Lonchura striata: one gene and its partner. The protein of the gene in region 2 purifies or fractionates together with the protein of the main gene of each other region. This does not show direct contact. Links are inferred from orthologs where the notes say so. Each region holds a gene or a part of one and is shown on either strand. Other genes may lie near its edges. The genes, in order: CUL2 and KLHDC3.

Evidence for each region.
Region 1: the proteins of KLHDC3 (region 2) and CUL2 purify together in Homo sapiens (affinity purification with mass spectrometry; 5 studies listed by BioGRID and IntAct, counting the BioPlex papers as one, with this or other methods). This does not show direct contact. The link is inferred for Lonchura striata from reciprocal best matches to the Homo sapiens genes KLHDC3 and CUL2.

Annotation. Positions count from the first base shown.
Region 1 is NC_134603.1:143,811,989-143,820,568, reverse strand, and holds the start of CUL2 (cullin-2), read left to right. Parts: upstream 1-4,922; 5' UTR 4,923-5,029; intron 5,030-5,124; exon of another isoform or gene 5,125-5,238; intron 5,239-7,856; 5' UTR 7,857-7,876; coding exon 7,877-7,995; intron 7,996-8,580.
Region 2 is NC_134605.1:18,783,239-18,791,276, forward strand, and holds the start of KLHDC3 (kelch domain-containing protein 3), read right to left. Parts: upstream 3,274-8,038; 5' UTR 3,147-3,273; intron 1,530-3,146; exon of another isoform or gene 1,490-1,529; intron 1-1,489. Other genes in the region: MEA1 (male-enhanced antigen 1), read left to right, coding at 3,414-3,767, 3,877-3,991, 4,058-4,221; PPP2R5D (serine/threonine-protein phosphatase 2A 56 kDa regulatory subunit delta isoform), read right to left, coding at 7,344-7,481, 7,828-7,944. UniProt on the Homo sapiens protein: Substrate-recognition component of a Cul2-RING (CRL2) E3 ubiquitin-protein ligase complex of the DesCEND (destruction via C-end degrons) pathway, which recognizes a C-degron located at the extreme C terminus of target proteins, leading to their ubiquitination and degradation.

The DNA of each region.
Region 1 (8,580 bases), on a different chromosome or scaffold from region 2:
CTTTCTTGAAGTGGCAGGCGTAGAACTGAACACAGGACTGGAGGTACTGAGCAATGTCTTTTCACTGTGTTGCTGCATATCCATGAAAGGATTATTTCACTATGATTTTTAAAAATGATTGTACAGCAGTGCACATCTATGTACACATCTAAGTACACATGATCTATGGGCCTTTTATTAAAAGGCACTGCTAAAAGGGACCTGAACCACTTTCTGAAGATAATTGCATAATTTCTGAATCAAAAGGGGAGACATTTAGAATATTGTTTGGTTCATTGCTGGTACTATAAACAAATACATTCCTGGCTCATGACCTGGTAGACGTAACAGAACTTCCTTGGTGTGGGTGTCAGATTCAGTCAAAGAAAGAAACTGAGTTTCTAGCCAGGCAAAAAGCCTGGGAAAGAGCTGGGAAAGAATGTAAATAATGCTTTATCTTTCTTGTTTTTCACATTGTTTATAGTTAAGTTCTATCACTGTGTGTCAAACACTCTGCACCAATGCTGTGGGTTGTTTTCACTTCAGAACCAATGGATTTGGTCCTTGTGGAGCTCTGTATAAAAGAGCGGTGTATTTTGAATAAATCAGAGTTTTAGTATTACAGCCTTCTGAGTCAGTCTCCTCATTCCCGTCCTACCTCGACAGCGACACCTTGGAACTGCAGCTTCCCTTCCCCTGTGTGCAGCATCCTCTCATGGCTCTCTCTCTCATTTCCACCAGCAGGAGCAAGTGATGATATTTGAACAGTTCCATGTGCTCAGCTGTGGCACCACACTTCCCTAACCCGTACTAGCTTTGGGATTTTATGTATACAAGCTAAAGCATGAAAACTACAAACTAGCTTATTTACTAGAGTAAATTTCAGGGGTAGTTTCATATTCAAATTAAACCTGAAAGCAAAATCCCAGTAATTAACACAAACCCACCCATATGGTGTCTCAGCCAGGACTCCTTCATTTTTAACAATTCAGAAAATAAAGCTAGAGAACCTAATAGCTTCTTTAGAAGCTTTTTGCATTCTTTTCTCAAATGCTTAGATAAGCAATATGATAAATAGGAACACTGAAACCTCTTTCATGCCAGGTTGCTTGTTTGTTGGTCAATTGTTATATCTGGTTCACTCAGCACATAGCAAGTACTGAGCCGTTGGCATCTGATGCACTTACTGAACGGAAAGGATTTACAACCTTGTAACTGAACACACAAAAGCTCCAGAATGTTTTACTCTTTTGATACCTCATAGCTGTTTAATATCTCAAAATTCCTTTAAATAAAATCATTTAGGCTCAGTAATTGCATCATAGAGTCTTGGCAGCTCATTGATCTCTAAATACAAGTTCTAAATACATGATTTTGCTTGTCAATACATGATTTTGCTTGTCTTGGCAGCTCATTGATCTCTAAATACAAGTTCTAAATACATGATTTTGCTTGTCAATAATGTTGCAGAATATTTTTTAGAAATTTTTTGGGGAAAAAAAGGAAAGAATAACTAGATTTGCTCAGACAGATAACTTCTTAACTACAATGACATGAAAATAAATTGGTGCCCCTTTTTAATAATAGATAGGAAAAAAAATTACATTTGCAATTTTTTTTCCAAGCAGTCCTGGGGAAGGATAGAATAAATCTGGGAGTTGAACTAAACACTTGATGGCTAACTAATAAATGTTGTTTGAGAGAGTTCAACTTTTGCTAGATTTCCTATTTCATGGACAAAAGGGGTGGGTTTTGTTGGTTTTGTAGGTTGTGCAAGCTGAAACTCCTGAACTGCTACTTTTTAATCTATTCAGTACTGACATCTTGTGGCCAGGAGTGCAGTGAGCATCTGCTTCTTAAAATTAAAGGGATTAAAGCAGATTAAATAACCACACATTTTAAATTCTTCATAAACCTAAAAAAAAAATTACAAAAATAATACTTAATTGCTTAATACTTAAATACTGCATATTTTTATAATCACAAAGGATTTGTTCAGTTTATACATATATTTTGCACATTACCATATGAAAGACAAATACCCACAATAAAAGTCTAGATTAAAATATCTATAATGAAATAAAGGTCCATTCTTACTTTAATTTATTTTGCTTTCAGAAGCAAAATATTATTTTTAAAAATTTGTATTATTATCTGCATCAATAATGCAGACTAACTCATCCAGTAAATTGAATATAACATGAATAAAACATAATTAATCCAGTCAATATTCTCATTTTCTACATGAAAAAGGCTAATGAATATGTTACTCTAAAAATAGGATTTTAAATCAAAGACAAGAAGAGCAGATAGTATAATGGAAGACATTTGCAGATGAGAGGGTGGTGGTGGGGAATGTGGATACTCAGTATCAGTTCCGACTGCATTCTAAACCAGCTTTTACATGAAGCATTAGGTGATATAGTGGCACATTTAATACAGTGTTTGCATCACCTCGGGGCTGTGGGATTCCTAGTTCTGTACCAGAATAATAGTGTTAGATGTAGCATCAACATAAACAAAATAGACAGCTCCTTCCAAAAGAATTAATTACATAAGGGCAAAGAAAACAAGTTAATGTAAATAGAAAAACCGAAGTATCAGATAAGAGAAAACTGTATGTAAACAATGGGGGAACTTAGGAAATACTCCAGTACTGGTTAGGACAGTGAGCAGATTGGGTAGCAGATGTAATCAAAGAAACATAAATTTGCGTATGTGGTGGCAAAGTTTTAAGGTGGTATGTACATGTAGTAGAAAATAACCTGTGTCACTCACTACTGTAATCAACAATCTATAAAGAACCAGCACGAATTTACTGGGAAGAAATTGACTTCTCCATAGGACTATCCTGCAAAAACTCCCAGAATTTCCATCTGTTCCCCATCTGTGTCTTCTCTATCTACAACTGCTGAAAGACAACACTAAGCCTTAGTCAAACAGGATTTAAAGGTCTGCACATCTGCTGTCATCAAGAAATGCATCAAGACATGACTGAGGTAGATGAGGACACCATTAATGGGTCATGCTTTGCCAAATGGCAACTTTCATTGCTGGCTTATTTGGGCACATCTGCACAGCATGTTAATTCAGATGATCTGGGCTTTAGCAGGTAGGAACTCACTGATTCATAAATCACATATCCACTCACATAAAGCATTGGTGTATACACACAAGTTTTAGTCTTGCTCTTGGCAGATACATTACATCTGCATAAGAACCTTTGTTCTTTTGAAGTGTAGGCAGCACTGTGGGAGTGGCAAGATGAGTTTAGTAGCACACACAGAGTAATGCTCTCTGCTTGCTCATCTCAGACTCCTGCAATGCCCCATTCTGTGAAACACCTGGTCTGTGTTTTCACGTGGTGATTCTCTGGACACCATTGACAAAGAAACTTGATGAAAAGGATATCTAGATTTTAAAATTTTGTGACTTAAGTAGGAATTATTTCCTAAATATATTTAAATCCAAGAACAATTTTTAAATATCTTACATAAAAGCAGTAATGTTCATGTTCTTCCTCTGAATTGTGACTCCCTAATTGTGCTTCCTCAACTGCAGCCTTGTAGAACAGTGTGCAGAATAGTTGAGGATTTGGTACCTAATTAAAGTCTGTGCTTACTGTGAATGTTCATAATTTCAGAAAATTGCTACGTGATTCTTCCATGCTGAACAACCCAAATGATTAGTTTTGAAAATACCTCATTTCCTGTATCTGTTTCCAGTTTATAACTGTTAACTCAGGACTAAACTTCCTCATATAACAGAAATTTAGAAAATATGTACTGTGTAATGTTTGGGCAGCGTATAGATAAGGATGTTTTTCATTAGCAGCAGTCTAACTTGTGATATGTGATCTTGTACAATTAATACATTCACACAGCATGATTAAACAGGATAATTAAATTGTGCCAGCATATATTTGAACTTCTAAGCTCACAAACTTGTGGCTAAGACTACTAAAATGTGAAAATATTAGAAAATGAGAAAGTGCCCCAGATACAATCCAACACTTGTAGAAAATAGCAAGCACCCAAAAGCTTAAAGTTACAACTTCCCTCCCTGCCCCCCCGGCAAATAGAAGAGCTTTAAACTCTGCTAGTTTCTGTTAAATTAACAGAATGGAAAAATAAAGGGGTTTACGGTGAAAACAGAGAAAGTTGAAATAGTGTCTAAAATGTCTAGAAGGAGCTAATAAAAATAATTTTAAAAGAGAACACAAAGGAAAACATTAAGGCTTAATGATAAAGCTGCCAGCTTTATGGAAAAAATATAAAACTTCATTTATGGAAATGAAACGGGCAAGGGCTTGATTCGAAAACAGAAATAATTATTTTTGACGTTTTGAGTAGTTTGAACAATAGAGAAGTTTCAGAAATAAATGTCTGTTTTCCAGAAGACTATTGTCTCTGACGGAGAGCTGCACTATGTGCTCTAAATGATTCCTTTTTTTAGTTTTTTTAGCTTTTTTTGAAGCAGATCTGCAGGGCGCTGGGCTGCCGGGGCCCGGCGGCTCGGCCTCCGCAGCGACTCCGCTTTGTCACTCCCACCCAACAACCCCGCGTCGCCGCTTTCCGCCGAGGCCCCGAGGGGACGGCGGAGGCAGCCGGGGCCGAGGCACTGCCCGGGGCGTCCCGCACCCGAGCAGGGTGCTGGAAGCTGGGGAAACTCCCTGCTGGGGTCCGGCGGCGGGACGGGAACACTTCCACCGTCTGAGGTAGCGGCGACCTCCTGACACGGAGCCCGGGAACGCCGCGCCCGTGGGAGAGCCCCGTTGCAGCCCGCGTCCCCCGCGAGTCCCTGGCGGGACGGCGCGCCGAGAGCGGTCCCGCCATGGGGGCGGAGTGACGCGTGCGCGGGGCCGCCCCGCCGCTGGGAAGCGCGGCCGCCCGCGCTCGCCGTACAGCGCGGGCTGTACCAAACCCCGCTGCTCCGGCGGGGGACGCTGCGATCGGAAAGTGACGGAGCGCCGGGACCCGTCGGCCCCAGCTCGCCCCGCGGCCGGCGGAAAAAGCCCAGCGGGGAGAACCCGGGGGTGGCGGCACCTTGGGTGAGGCGGCGGCGCGGCGGCGACAGCACCGAGCGGGGCCGCGGGGCCGCGCCCCAACCCCGGCAGTGGCGGCGCCGGCGGAGGGGCGGGGCGCGAGCGGCTTTGGGTAATGGCAGCGCTGTGAGGACGGAACGGGGCAGCGACCGCGGCCGAGGGCAGGAGCGAGGGACGCCGGGCGGGGGTCGCTGACTCGGGCCCCGGGCCGCCAGGTAACGCCCTCGCCCGGCCCGGCCCGGCCCGGCCCGCCGCGCTGAGGGCGGGAGCGCCGCGCCGAAGGGAGGTGGCGGTCCCGACCCCGCCGGCTGCGCGCGGGGGCGATCGGGCCCTGCCCCCGGCCGGCCCCGGCCCCGCCGCTGCCCCGGCCCGGGCCTCATCCCCGGCGGTGCCTGAGCGGCAGCGCCCGCCCGCCGCCTCCTGCCCCGGCTCCTGCCCTTGCCCCCGGGCAGGGCGCGGTGCGGCCTCTCCGGCGGGGCCGCTCATTATCCGCTGGCTGCGCCCTCAGCCAGTTTCGCTTTTGTTTTGGTGGAGGGGGAGGTGGGCAGCGGGCGTGGGAGGCAGCACTGGTCACCTGTTTGACGCGAGTGCTCCTGCCCCTGTCTGCGCGCCCGCCACGGACTTGTAATACTGCTTATGGAGGTGGTTAAATAGCTTGGAAATTTGGGGCGTTCTTTGATACTGGACAGAATGCTGTGCTTATTTGTGTGAACAAATATATGCTGTATGGCAGTGGTGTGTTTTAAAGAATGAGGCGATGGAAGCGGCATCCTTTTATTATCTTACTGAGTAAATATGTTTCAATAACATCTCTTTACCTTAAGGCTTATCAAACAGGTATGGCTTCCCACACCCTGAATAGTCTAAACCCTAGGGTAGATATTCTGCTCTCCTGTGGTTCTTACCGTGATCAATACAAGACATCTAATAATCAAAGTTGGTGAGCTTTTGCATCGCTGATACTGGAGCACAGCATGCCCCAAAAAGTCCAGTGTCTTATAGTAAAAATTATACCATACTTGTTAAAATATCTCTAAAACATACTTAAATTCATATTTCCATGAAAGTTGTAAGAGAATGCCAAATAACAGTTATCTTAAACTTATTAATTTAATCTGTCTTAAATTTAATTCCGGAATACTTGGATGACCATGTGGATGCTTTACACATTATTAGGTTTTAATCATCCTGAACACGTTTAATGACATTGGGATGTACTGTGGTGAGGACTTTTCCTTCACCCTTCCTTCTTCCCCTCGGTTTTGCTTCTCTTTGAAGAAAGGGCTCTTTTCTCTTGGATGTACCACCTGTGTTTCCAAGACAGCAACTTCTAATATAACACAAGTACAGCTTCATTAACAGAAGCAGTTATTATGATTCTTAGTGTCTTTTGTGGACCATGATTATTTTTTCTTGGGGTCAGCTGGAAATGATCTTGTGTTTTCCATAAGAGGGGTATTTGGTCTTTTTGAAGATTACCACTTCCCCCTCTCCCCTCCCATCCTGGAAGTGAGCTGTTGTCTGCCTCTACTAAGGTTCATGTTTCTGTGAAACATACATCAGTGTGTTTTTCAGCTTACGTTACTTGATGGATCTTTGTTTTGTCAATTCTCACTGATTTTTCTGTGTAAACTCCTGCTAACATAAATGGATTGAAGTAATAGCCAAGTTACAAATACCACAACATTTACAGCAGTTAAGGAGCTTGGTTGGTTAGTCATGGGGATGGGTTGTGTGCATGCATGCTAAAAGTTGCATCTGATTTAACTGCTTTTTTTCTTAAACTGAGAAGTGATATATCCTGTAAGAGCCAGTAGTGGTTAATCTAGTAAGCTAGTTGCTCAATAGTTTTTTAGCATGACATTTCATTCTTTCCCTTACAGAGGTCTGCCTCTTGTTCTCAAAGTCTGTCACCAGCTTTCTACTTTCCCTTTTGACCTTGAAATTTTGGAAAGACAAGAGTCACTTGTCCATCTGTTTGAAATGGAAATAGAAGTATTCTTTCCATTTTTTATTGTAGTCTTACAATGTCATGTTTCTGAGCAGCAACTAGACTTGCTTTGTGCATGGAATGTCACACATCAGATCCCTTTTAAATTAGTGAAAATGAGACCTTCACAGTTGTCTCTTTTTAAAATCACCTTACTTTCCCCCTAGTTTTTAGATAATTTAATGTTGAGTGTTTTTTTTTTTTCTCAATAAATCTCTTCTGTTATTTTTGATAGGATATAACTATCACAGCTTCTGTATTTTCAAGCCATGTCTTATTTGAAAGGCATCAGTGTTTTCCTGGCTCTGCATATTGCCCTGTGTTTTCTTTTTCACATCCTGATCAAAGCTTTTGGGTTTTGTGGCTTTTCAAATGTAAAACCAAAAATGTCTCATGAAAGCCTGAGGTGAGCACAGGCTACAAACTGACAGTAGGAATTTCAGATACTGTGGTAATCGTTTAGTTTGTTCTTACCCCAAATTTTCTTAGATACAGTTAAAACAGTCTTTGATAAAAGTAAACAAATCAAAATTTACAGGAAAGTTGTTTTCTTCATGGGACACTCTTAAATGAATAGTTTGGTGAGATAATGAACTTCACAAAGTATGATGATGTTAGATTAATTGGTATTAAGTTATAGGCTACTTATGCAACATTCATATTCTATTCCAAAGCATTAAAAATGAGGAATTGTGGAATCATTTTGGAAGAGGTGGGTGTTCTTTGTGTCGCTGTATCATAGTGGTGCAACAGTGTACAAAGTTTAAATTCAAAAATTCAAAGGAAGTGTATACTTTTTTAATGATTGTGCAATGTTGTCTGACATGTTTAATTCTTCTACAGATTAACACTAAAGCCCCACAATGTCCTTGAAACCACGAGTAGTTGACTTTGATGAAACATGGAACAAACTTCTAACAACGATTAAAGCTGTTGTGATGTTGGATTATGTTGAAAGAGCAACGTGGAATGATCGCTTCTCGTATCCTTTAAGTGAAAAATCTGACTTGATGTGTTTGTGTGATGTGTTTAGCACAGGGTAAACCTGTGTTATGCAACAGTGATCCTGGGCAGCTTGTTGTTAGGCTGTACCTGTTATTAGGCCTGTGAATAAATTGAAAGGGATGGGAAATTCTGCATATTTGGGAAGTATTCTATGTGAAAATCACCATGCTGATAAAAAGTTAATTAGCCTCAGTTCTAGTCACTTTTGGTAGCTATAATACTTAGCTTATGCTAAAGCTGTTTTTGCAGGTATTGAGTGTCCCCTATTCTGACACTGAGATTTTCTTGTATGTTTAAGTGTTTGTGTGCAGCAGGGGAAATACCCAGGACAGAGAGTGCACATCTTTAAATTTGAGATGTGGGGGATGTTGAGATTGTTCTGTATAAACCTTTCTCCCTCTTCTTTGCATTTCTAACTCTACTGATAGCTACCATACTAGTCATTTCCATAGCAAGGATATATTAAAAAGCCTTCTTCCTTTCCCTCCTCTGTTACTGCCTTATTACTTGTGACAGTTAAGCTACGTTTAAGAATTACTACTCTTTCTGCATTCATATGGTC
Region 2 (8,038 bases):
AAGCACAGGGGATGCAGAGAAATTTTGAAACCCTGGTAAGTCCTGTCATTAACCAGGAATAAGTGCATTTCTAAAAATCAGGACATGCTTCACTTACTGGTGAAGTACCTGATGTTGGTGATGCTGGAAATTAAGTGAGAACAACAGTGCATTGTTCCTCTGCCACAAAACATTTCACTGCTAAGCCAGGGAACAATCAGATTTAATTCAGCTCTGCATTCTTCCAATACAGCACCTGTAGACAGCACCCCCATATCTCTAGTTGTGCTCTTGCCTGAAGATGCACTTAATGCCTGCAACAACCTTCATCCCAACTGCTCCAGTTTACACCTAACAAGAGCCTAACAGCACCGCATACGGACATCTGAGATCAACAAAAATATCACTCAATCTCTCACTAGCATATCTTCCAAAACTGTTGTGGTGACTTGAGCACTGTGACACAGATAGAAAAACATCCCCAAAACAACAACAACAAAAAAAAACAAACCAGATTTTTCACTTTGTTCTATTTGCTTTAGGCTTAGTATTTTCAAACCTTACAATTAGTTATGAAAATACTTCATTCGAGATAGAAAGCTACTGAGCATCTCCAACTACAGTAGCCAGGTGATGATCTTAAAACAAACCCATATGTTATAAATGAAAGTTTATTTTAGCCAGATTAAAAAAAAAAATAATAATTTTATTAGCGGTCAAATTCTATCTGGCCAGCCACACAGAAAAGACAGAGCCGAGCCCGGGGTCGACCCTGGGTGTGCAACAAGGAGTCAGCCTCAGCAGAGGTTTTCCCCTATGCCCACACACCTCCATCCTGGCACAGGCGGTTTTTATAGGGAAAATTCTGCCTGAGGCCAAGATTTTAGCAATCAGTCCTTTCTTCTATTCGGAGTCCATATGTTAATAAGGATTTCTTTTTGGTGATGAGGAGAAAAAATTCAATGTTGAGCGTTTACGGGAAGGCTTCATTCACATGGATCTGTCTGAGTATTTCCATGATATCCATCTTGGACGATCAGCACAGATGATCAGCACAGACAATGACCCATCTCCTGGCCGAGCCACATCTGTTTACTTGTAAATCAGTTTCCAATATACACTCAGTCTCGCCCGCAAAGGGGGGGGGGGGGGGGGAGGAACTAATACAACGGGCATGATTTAACAAGCATCCCATATTACATATTTCATACAAGGAATGGCGCAAATTATATTTACTATACATAACACATATATCCTTGGATCCACTTCTTTGCTCAAAGGGAGCTCAGTGGGTTCTCTCACTTCTCTCTGCACACAAAAGGAAACCTAGAGCCATTTCTAAAAGCTGCTCAGAGTAGCCTTGCTGTATCCGATTCTCAAAGCAAGGGGGAGAAACCCATCAGCAAGTGGCCCGGATTTTCAAGGACTCATTCTGTCACCCCCAGACTTACAGCAGCACCCCAAGAAGAGCAGCCTACTCTGCAAAGCTGCTCCAGAGAGCAAATCCTACCGTGTGGCTGCCTCAGTCCCGTCTCCCAAAAGACACCAGCCACAAGGTTTAGTAACCCTTAAAATAGCCCAGCCAGTTCACAGCAGTCCATATAGACCGTTCTATTTCAAGCACATCCAACATACTGTTAGAGATAACATGAGAACAACCTGCTTTCTTCACTTGTGCTTGACATTTATCTAATGCTTGGAGCATTTGTGCTAAGGCAGTGTGAAACTGCAAGCTTGCACATTCAATAGCTCACAGATGCTCACAATGCAATTCCAGCCCCAGTAAATTAGATGGTGCTAGAACAGTCCTCGAGCTCGTGAACTGAGCCTGCTCTGGAAGCTCATGTTAGCCACGGGAATCACAGACCACGCTGCTCAGGCACAAATTTATCCCAGTGGTCCCCCTACAACCAGCCTCACCATCTCCTTATTTTTCACCAAATATTTTACCCATTGCTGACTTACTTCTGCCTAAAGCCTAGCTGAGATTCTGCACCTACTGAGCTGGCTTCTATTCTTCACCTTGTTTCCCAAACCCCAGCTTCTCTATGGAGTGTGCCTAAGCTTTGGAGATACTGCTTGACCCCTACTTCCCCATCAGGAATTTGTCTCAGCCTGTTAAGCTGTTTCCAAGGGCTGCCGCCAAGGGCAGCCCTTGGGCTGGGAAGCAGGCTCAGGAAAGCTGAGCTGACAGCCAGCAGGGCATTTCTCGCTTTACACAGGGCTACATCAGTTTGTTCTTCTGCCCCCCTGTTGCACTGACACTGATCCCCAGGCTGAGTGGTCTGCTGGGCTTGGCCACACATGGGGCAGGCTCACAGGTGCCAACCCCAGGCATGCAGCCCCACAGCAGCCACAACTGGGTGAGAGAATAAATGGTGTGAAACCACAGGAGCCCACAGGATGGAGAGAGAAGGTGCAGCAGAAGTCATGCCAGGGCAGAAGGTCAGCCTCCCTGACACAGACCTATTGGGGAGGATAGGGATATGTGGGGTCACAGAATCCTTTAAGGATGGAGACCACCAAGATCACAGAGCCCAGCCATTAGCCCAACACTGCCAGGCCCACCACTAACCCATGTCCTGAAAGTGCCACATTTACAGATTTTTTTTAACACTTCCAGGGACGGTGATTCGACCATCTCCCTGAGCAGCCTGTTCCAATGCCAAACTACCCTTTTCGTGAAGAATTTTTTCCTAATATCCAATCTAAACTTTCCCTGGTGCAGCTTGAAGCTATTTCCTCTTGACCTGCCTGTCACTTGTTACCTGGGAGAAGAGGCTGGCCCACACCTGGCAACAATCTCCTTTCAGGCAGTTGTAGAGAGTAACAGGGTCTCTCCTGAGCTTCCTTTTCTCCAAGCTGAAGACCCCCAGCTCTCTCAGCCGCCCCTCACAGGACTGGCTCTCTGGACCCTTCAGCACCTCCTCTGCCCAGCTCTGGACACGCTCCAGCACCGTTGGCCGCCGCTCCCGCCCGAGCCCCTCTGTGCCGCCCCGCGCCCCCACCCGCTGCCCGCGGGCCCGGCCGAGGGCAGCCGGGCAGGGCGGCGGCCCCGCGCCCCCGGCCCTCACGGAGGGGCTCGGCGGTGCCTACCAGCCTCGCCCTCCCCCAGCCGCGGCACGGCTCCGCCGGCTGCCCTCGCCCCTGCGGCCCCAGCCCCGTACCTGTGCCCGTACAAGGAGCTCCGACAGCCCCGCTCCGACGGGAGCTCCCGCCGCTCCCTGGGACTTGTAGTGCGGCGTGGCCCCGCCCGGGTCCGTGGCCCCCCCCCCCCCCGCGCCGGAGTAGCGCGGCCCCGACAGGCCCTTGCGAGGCGCCGGGCCCCGGCCTCCCTCAGGGAGGGCTCCGTGGGTTCCCCGCCCCGCCCGGGCCCGGCCCCGGCGCGCCGCTCGGGCCCAGACCGAGATGGCAACACTCGATGGCGACACTCGATGGCACCGGCGGCGCGTGCCGGCGGCGCCGCCCGCCGCGCCCGGGGCCCGCTTCGGGACTACAACACCCACAGTGCCCCGCGGCGGCCGCGGAGGTTCCGGGCGGCGGCGGCGGCACCTCCTCGGCGCCGCGCCCGGTGTATGGCGGTGGTGCGGAGCATGGGCCCCGAGCGCGTCTGTCCCCGGGAGCCCGGGCCGCCGGAGGGCCCTGACGGCGCGGCGGGGTGGAGCGGCGATGAGGAGGAGGAGGAGGAGGAAGAGGAGGAAGGCGGCGGGTACTTGTATCAGCCCTTGAGCCAGGAACCGGAGCAGGGCCTCGGCGACGCGGGCCCCGGCCTGCAGGAGCGGCTGCAGGTACCGCCCAGCGCCTCCCGCCGGGCCGGGGCTGGGGGCACCCGCGGCCCCGACCCCCGCTGCCCCGACCCCCGCTGCCCCGACCCCCGCTGCCCGCCTTTCTCCGCAGATGCTGAGGCTGCACCTGCCCGACCCGCCGGTGGACAGCGAGGAGGAGAATGAGGAGGAAGCAGCGGAGGGCGCCACGGCTCAGAGCAGCCACAGCTCCATCCCCATGGATGCAGGTAACCGCGTCTCCGGCAGGACGCTCCCGGGGCTCCGCCGCGGTCTCACGGCCTCTCTGTTCCCAGAGCATGTGGAGCTGGTGAAGAGGACGATGGCCAGCGTGAAGCTGCCCACCCTGGGCATCCCAGCCTGGGCTAGCCAGATCTCGGAGGAGCAGTGGAAGGACGTGGTGCAGCGCACGCTGCAGGCCCGGCAGAGCCTCGGCGGCCCCCGGCCTCAGTGGAACTGAGTGCTGGGCTGTGGCACAGGGGCTGCAAACCCCAGCCCTCCCTCCACCCTGGAAGTACCCACTGCCTCCGAGCCAGGTGCTGACAGGACTTGCCAGTATCAACCTTCCAGTTTGTCCCACTGACATTGTCTGATTTTCCTTCCCCCTCCTTTTTCTGGGTTCTGGTTGGTGAATAAGTCAATGTGATGACCTTGTGCTGGCTTCCTCTACCTCTGAGGAAGATTGCTTTCCATGCCTGGATGCATATGCGGCGATGGGGCTTGGCTGGCTTTGCCCATGGACTTGGCCCCATGCTGACAGTACCAGAGAAGTCACTCTCCAGGCTAGGGCCCCTCCTCTCAGGATAGGGTCTGTGTGTTGGAATATCACAGGTGGAGCAAGATGTGTCATTCCAAGAGATTGGTTTTATTTAGTTCTGTACATACAGGGACATCTGTACAAAATCCAACACTTTCATACTATGTAATGCTCTACTGAAAATAAAGTACACCATATGTACATATGAACTGTAAGCAGCTTAATACTTGTGTCCAGGGTGTGAATGCAGTAGTTTTGCTTTTTCCCTTGGGAGGAGCAAGCCAGGTGGAGTGGAAGAGGCAGCTCCAGTTCTGTCCATTTGGCTGATGTGGGGAAAGGCATAGGCAGAAATGAGCAGCACTAATGCTAGAAACCAAGTATTGAGCAGGGGGTAGCCGTAGCGTGGCAGATGCAGGTCTGCCTATGAGCAGTACATGTAGTGAGAGGGTGAGCACACTCCCCCTTGTCTCACATGGTCCCCTTCTGAGGTGTCCAGGACACTGGAATGAATAGGCAGCAAACAAAGGATAATGTGAAGGTACTAAGCCTAAGTTCCCTGACCCAAAACAAGACACAAAAAGCTATGGGAACATCAAAGCTGTACAGCACATAATCATGATGTGTTACAATCCTGCCCCTGCACATGGCACAACCCCAGCAGCATTCCTCTGGCCAGGGTCAGGGGCTGCCAGCAGAGACAGATCATCTGCAGGACAGTGCCAGCCCCTGCACACCACAAGATTCTGTTCCCTCCACAGGCAGAGCAGCCCACAGCGGGGAAAGGCAGCCACTGCGCAGCAGCAAGCAGGCTCAAGTGAGGGCACACCATGCTGTAGCAATCTAAAAATGAGGTCTTGGCTTACAGCGCAATGCAAGCAGCCAGTTGGAGAGCCTGTGCTCCAACAGGAAGGAGCCTCCTGCCCAGCCTGAGCCTGGCAGCCTTCATTTCCGCTGTGCTGCTCTGGCACCACCCGGTGCATGTCCACATGCTGTGCCAGGCGTGAGGTAATTGATTGGCAGCTGATCATGAGCTCAGACTAATGTTCAAAATAAGCAATAACCTCCCTGAGGTGTTTCGGAAGTCTCCTGATGAACTGGCCCGTTGTGTGAGGCGGAGGGGAGGTGGGGCCCTGTGTGACTGGGGGGATCTCACACATGCACCTGCCAGCTCCTCCCAAGAGATGGTGGCATTCCTGATAAGGGCTGAGCTGGGAGAGAGCTACACGGGGCAGGGATGCAGGATACACAGGTCAAAACAGCCTCACTGGGGTTGGAGGAAAGATGTGCTGCACACCAGCAGAAAGATTAGAGGGGGTGATCCTCTGACCTGTAAATGGTTTACTGGTGAGGACAGGCAGATACACCAGAACCTTCTACAACATCCCGTGCCATTGCAAAGCAGTGTCAGGCCAGCCCCAACCCCACAGGCTCCCTGCACTGCTGCAAACCCACTTAAGCTTATGTGTCAAGAAAGCAGGTGCAGCAGGTAAGAAGCAAGGACTCCCCCTCTATGACACCCAGCCTCTGAGGTGGCACCTTGGCCTGGCACTAAATCTGCACCACAAACAACAGGGGTGAAAGCTGGATCACAGTAGCACCCAAGTGCTGCGCAAGCCCCTGGGCTATCAGCAAGTGTTTCTAAATGCTAAGTTAGCACCCCGATGCACCATGTGACATCTAACAAGGGCCTCGGGCCACAGCAGGTGCACACGTAACAGGACAGGTGAACTTTGCTCAGAGCACCCACAGAAGCGATTCAGCAGAAGTGCTTAGCCATTGATAATAATGAGGAGACAACTGAACAATCAAACTCAGCCACACCCCATGAGGTGTAGCCACTGCTTCCACTGGCTTGCGGAAATGACTAGCAGCACAAGCTTCCTAGAAACCCTGGCCCTGAAGAGCTAAGGATGGGATACAGAGACAAAGGGAGAGCTGAAGGAGTATTTTAATTGAGCAGGTAGAGGAAGAAGGTGGAAGTCAGTGGCTGACACCTGCTACACAGCGAGAAGTTAATTCTGGGCCCACAATTAACCCGAGACATCGGGAAGGAAATGAGTCTGCACGAACCAACACAAACAGCAGAAGTAATTCACTTTCTCACAAGAGAGCTTCTAAGGATGCTCTAAAGGGAGGACTGCAATAGTATGTAGTGCTTGCACCCAGCTTAACTGGGGGTGGCAAAGCACTGAACCCCCACTCCACTGACAGGGGAATAAAACAAGGAGCTTGTAGCAAAAGAAAGGTGTAAGTAAACATTTCCTCTGCTGTACATTAAGACCCTTCAGCTGTGGAGCTGCACCCCAAGGCAGGCTGGAGAGGCAGCAGAGCCTTCACAAACTCTGCTTTTCCCCAAAGCTCAGCCTGGCCTCTGACCATGCCAGGGCTCAGCTGCACATGCAGCACAGGGGCAGAGATGGGCACTTGGAGTTTGGAGCAGCACGCTGAGCCATGCATGGAAGGCTCTGCCCAACACAGAGCCTGAGCAAGGCTCTGGCTTCCTGGCAGAGTAAGAATCAGGTGGCATCTCACACTGAAGTGAGTCCTGCCTGGACTGATAAAAGCAGAGGTCAGGCAGGCTCCCCTAATGCTTGCAGAGCCAGGTGGGAAAACAGGAGGACGGAGAAAAAGCAGGAGGACACAACAGTGGTGAGATACAAGTTATAACATAAAATCAGATCTACCCTGGAGGTATGCAGATGGAGTGGAGGACAGGCACAGCTCACCATGTTAATTCCTTACTTATACATGAGAACTGAGTGCACTTCCATGACCCCTGGAGGAAAGGGATGGGGCAGAGCTTCCTGGGCCAGCTCCTGAGCCCGTCAGAGAGCCTCCTGGCTTGAGGTGAGAAACTCTTCTGCTCTCTTGTGGGCCTCCAAGGCTTTTATAGTGTAGACGTCCTGCGGAAGCTCAGACTTCCGGCGCAGCAAAACTTTGTCCTTCTTAATGTCTTTCAGCATCTACAAACAAATCAAAGGAGTCAGGAATCAGTAGCAAACCCCTTCATGCCTTCAGCCTCTGACTCCAACTGCTCTAGGTTATGCTGAGTGGCACTGCAGCATGCTTCAGAACAGGCTGACAGCCAAATACAGACCAAAAGGACACAAGAAAGTCCCACTGGCACTTTTTCCAGAGTGAGAAGGTTAGATAAACTCCACTCTTCAGACTACAGGTTGATCTCTTAATGATGAGGGGTGAGAGTAGTGGCATTTACCTTCAGAACATTTGGAAAGAGCCAGCTCTGGCTATGCTGATGTCCTGGCTGGACTGGGAGCAACTGTGAAAGGACCTGAGTCACCTACACACCTGTACGGCCTCCGTCTCCACTGTTTTCTTCAGTAGCTGTATATCCTCTGCAGTTGGGGTCTCCGTTTCCATACAGCACACAGAAGGCAAGGGTAGAGGTGCATAATACATGGGGTACTGCAGACAACACAGACAGCTGGAGAGTCAGCACTCCATCCAACACCACACCTTCTCCCCCAGCATGCTAACACGGCACAGCACAAGTTCTCCC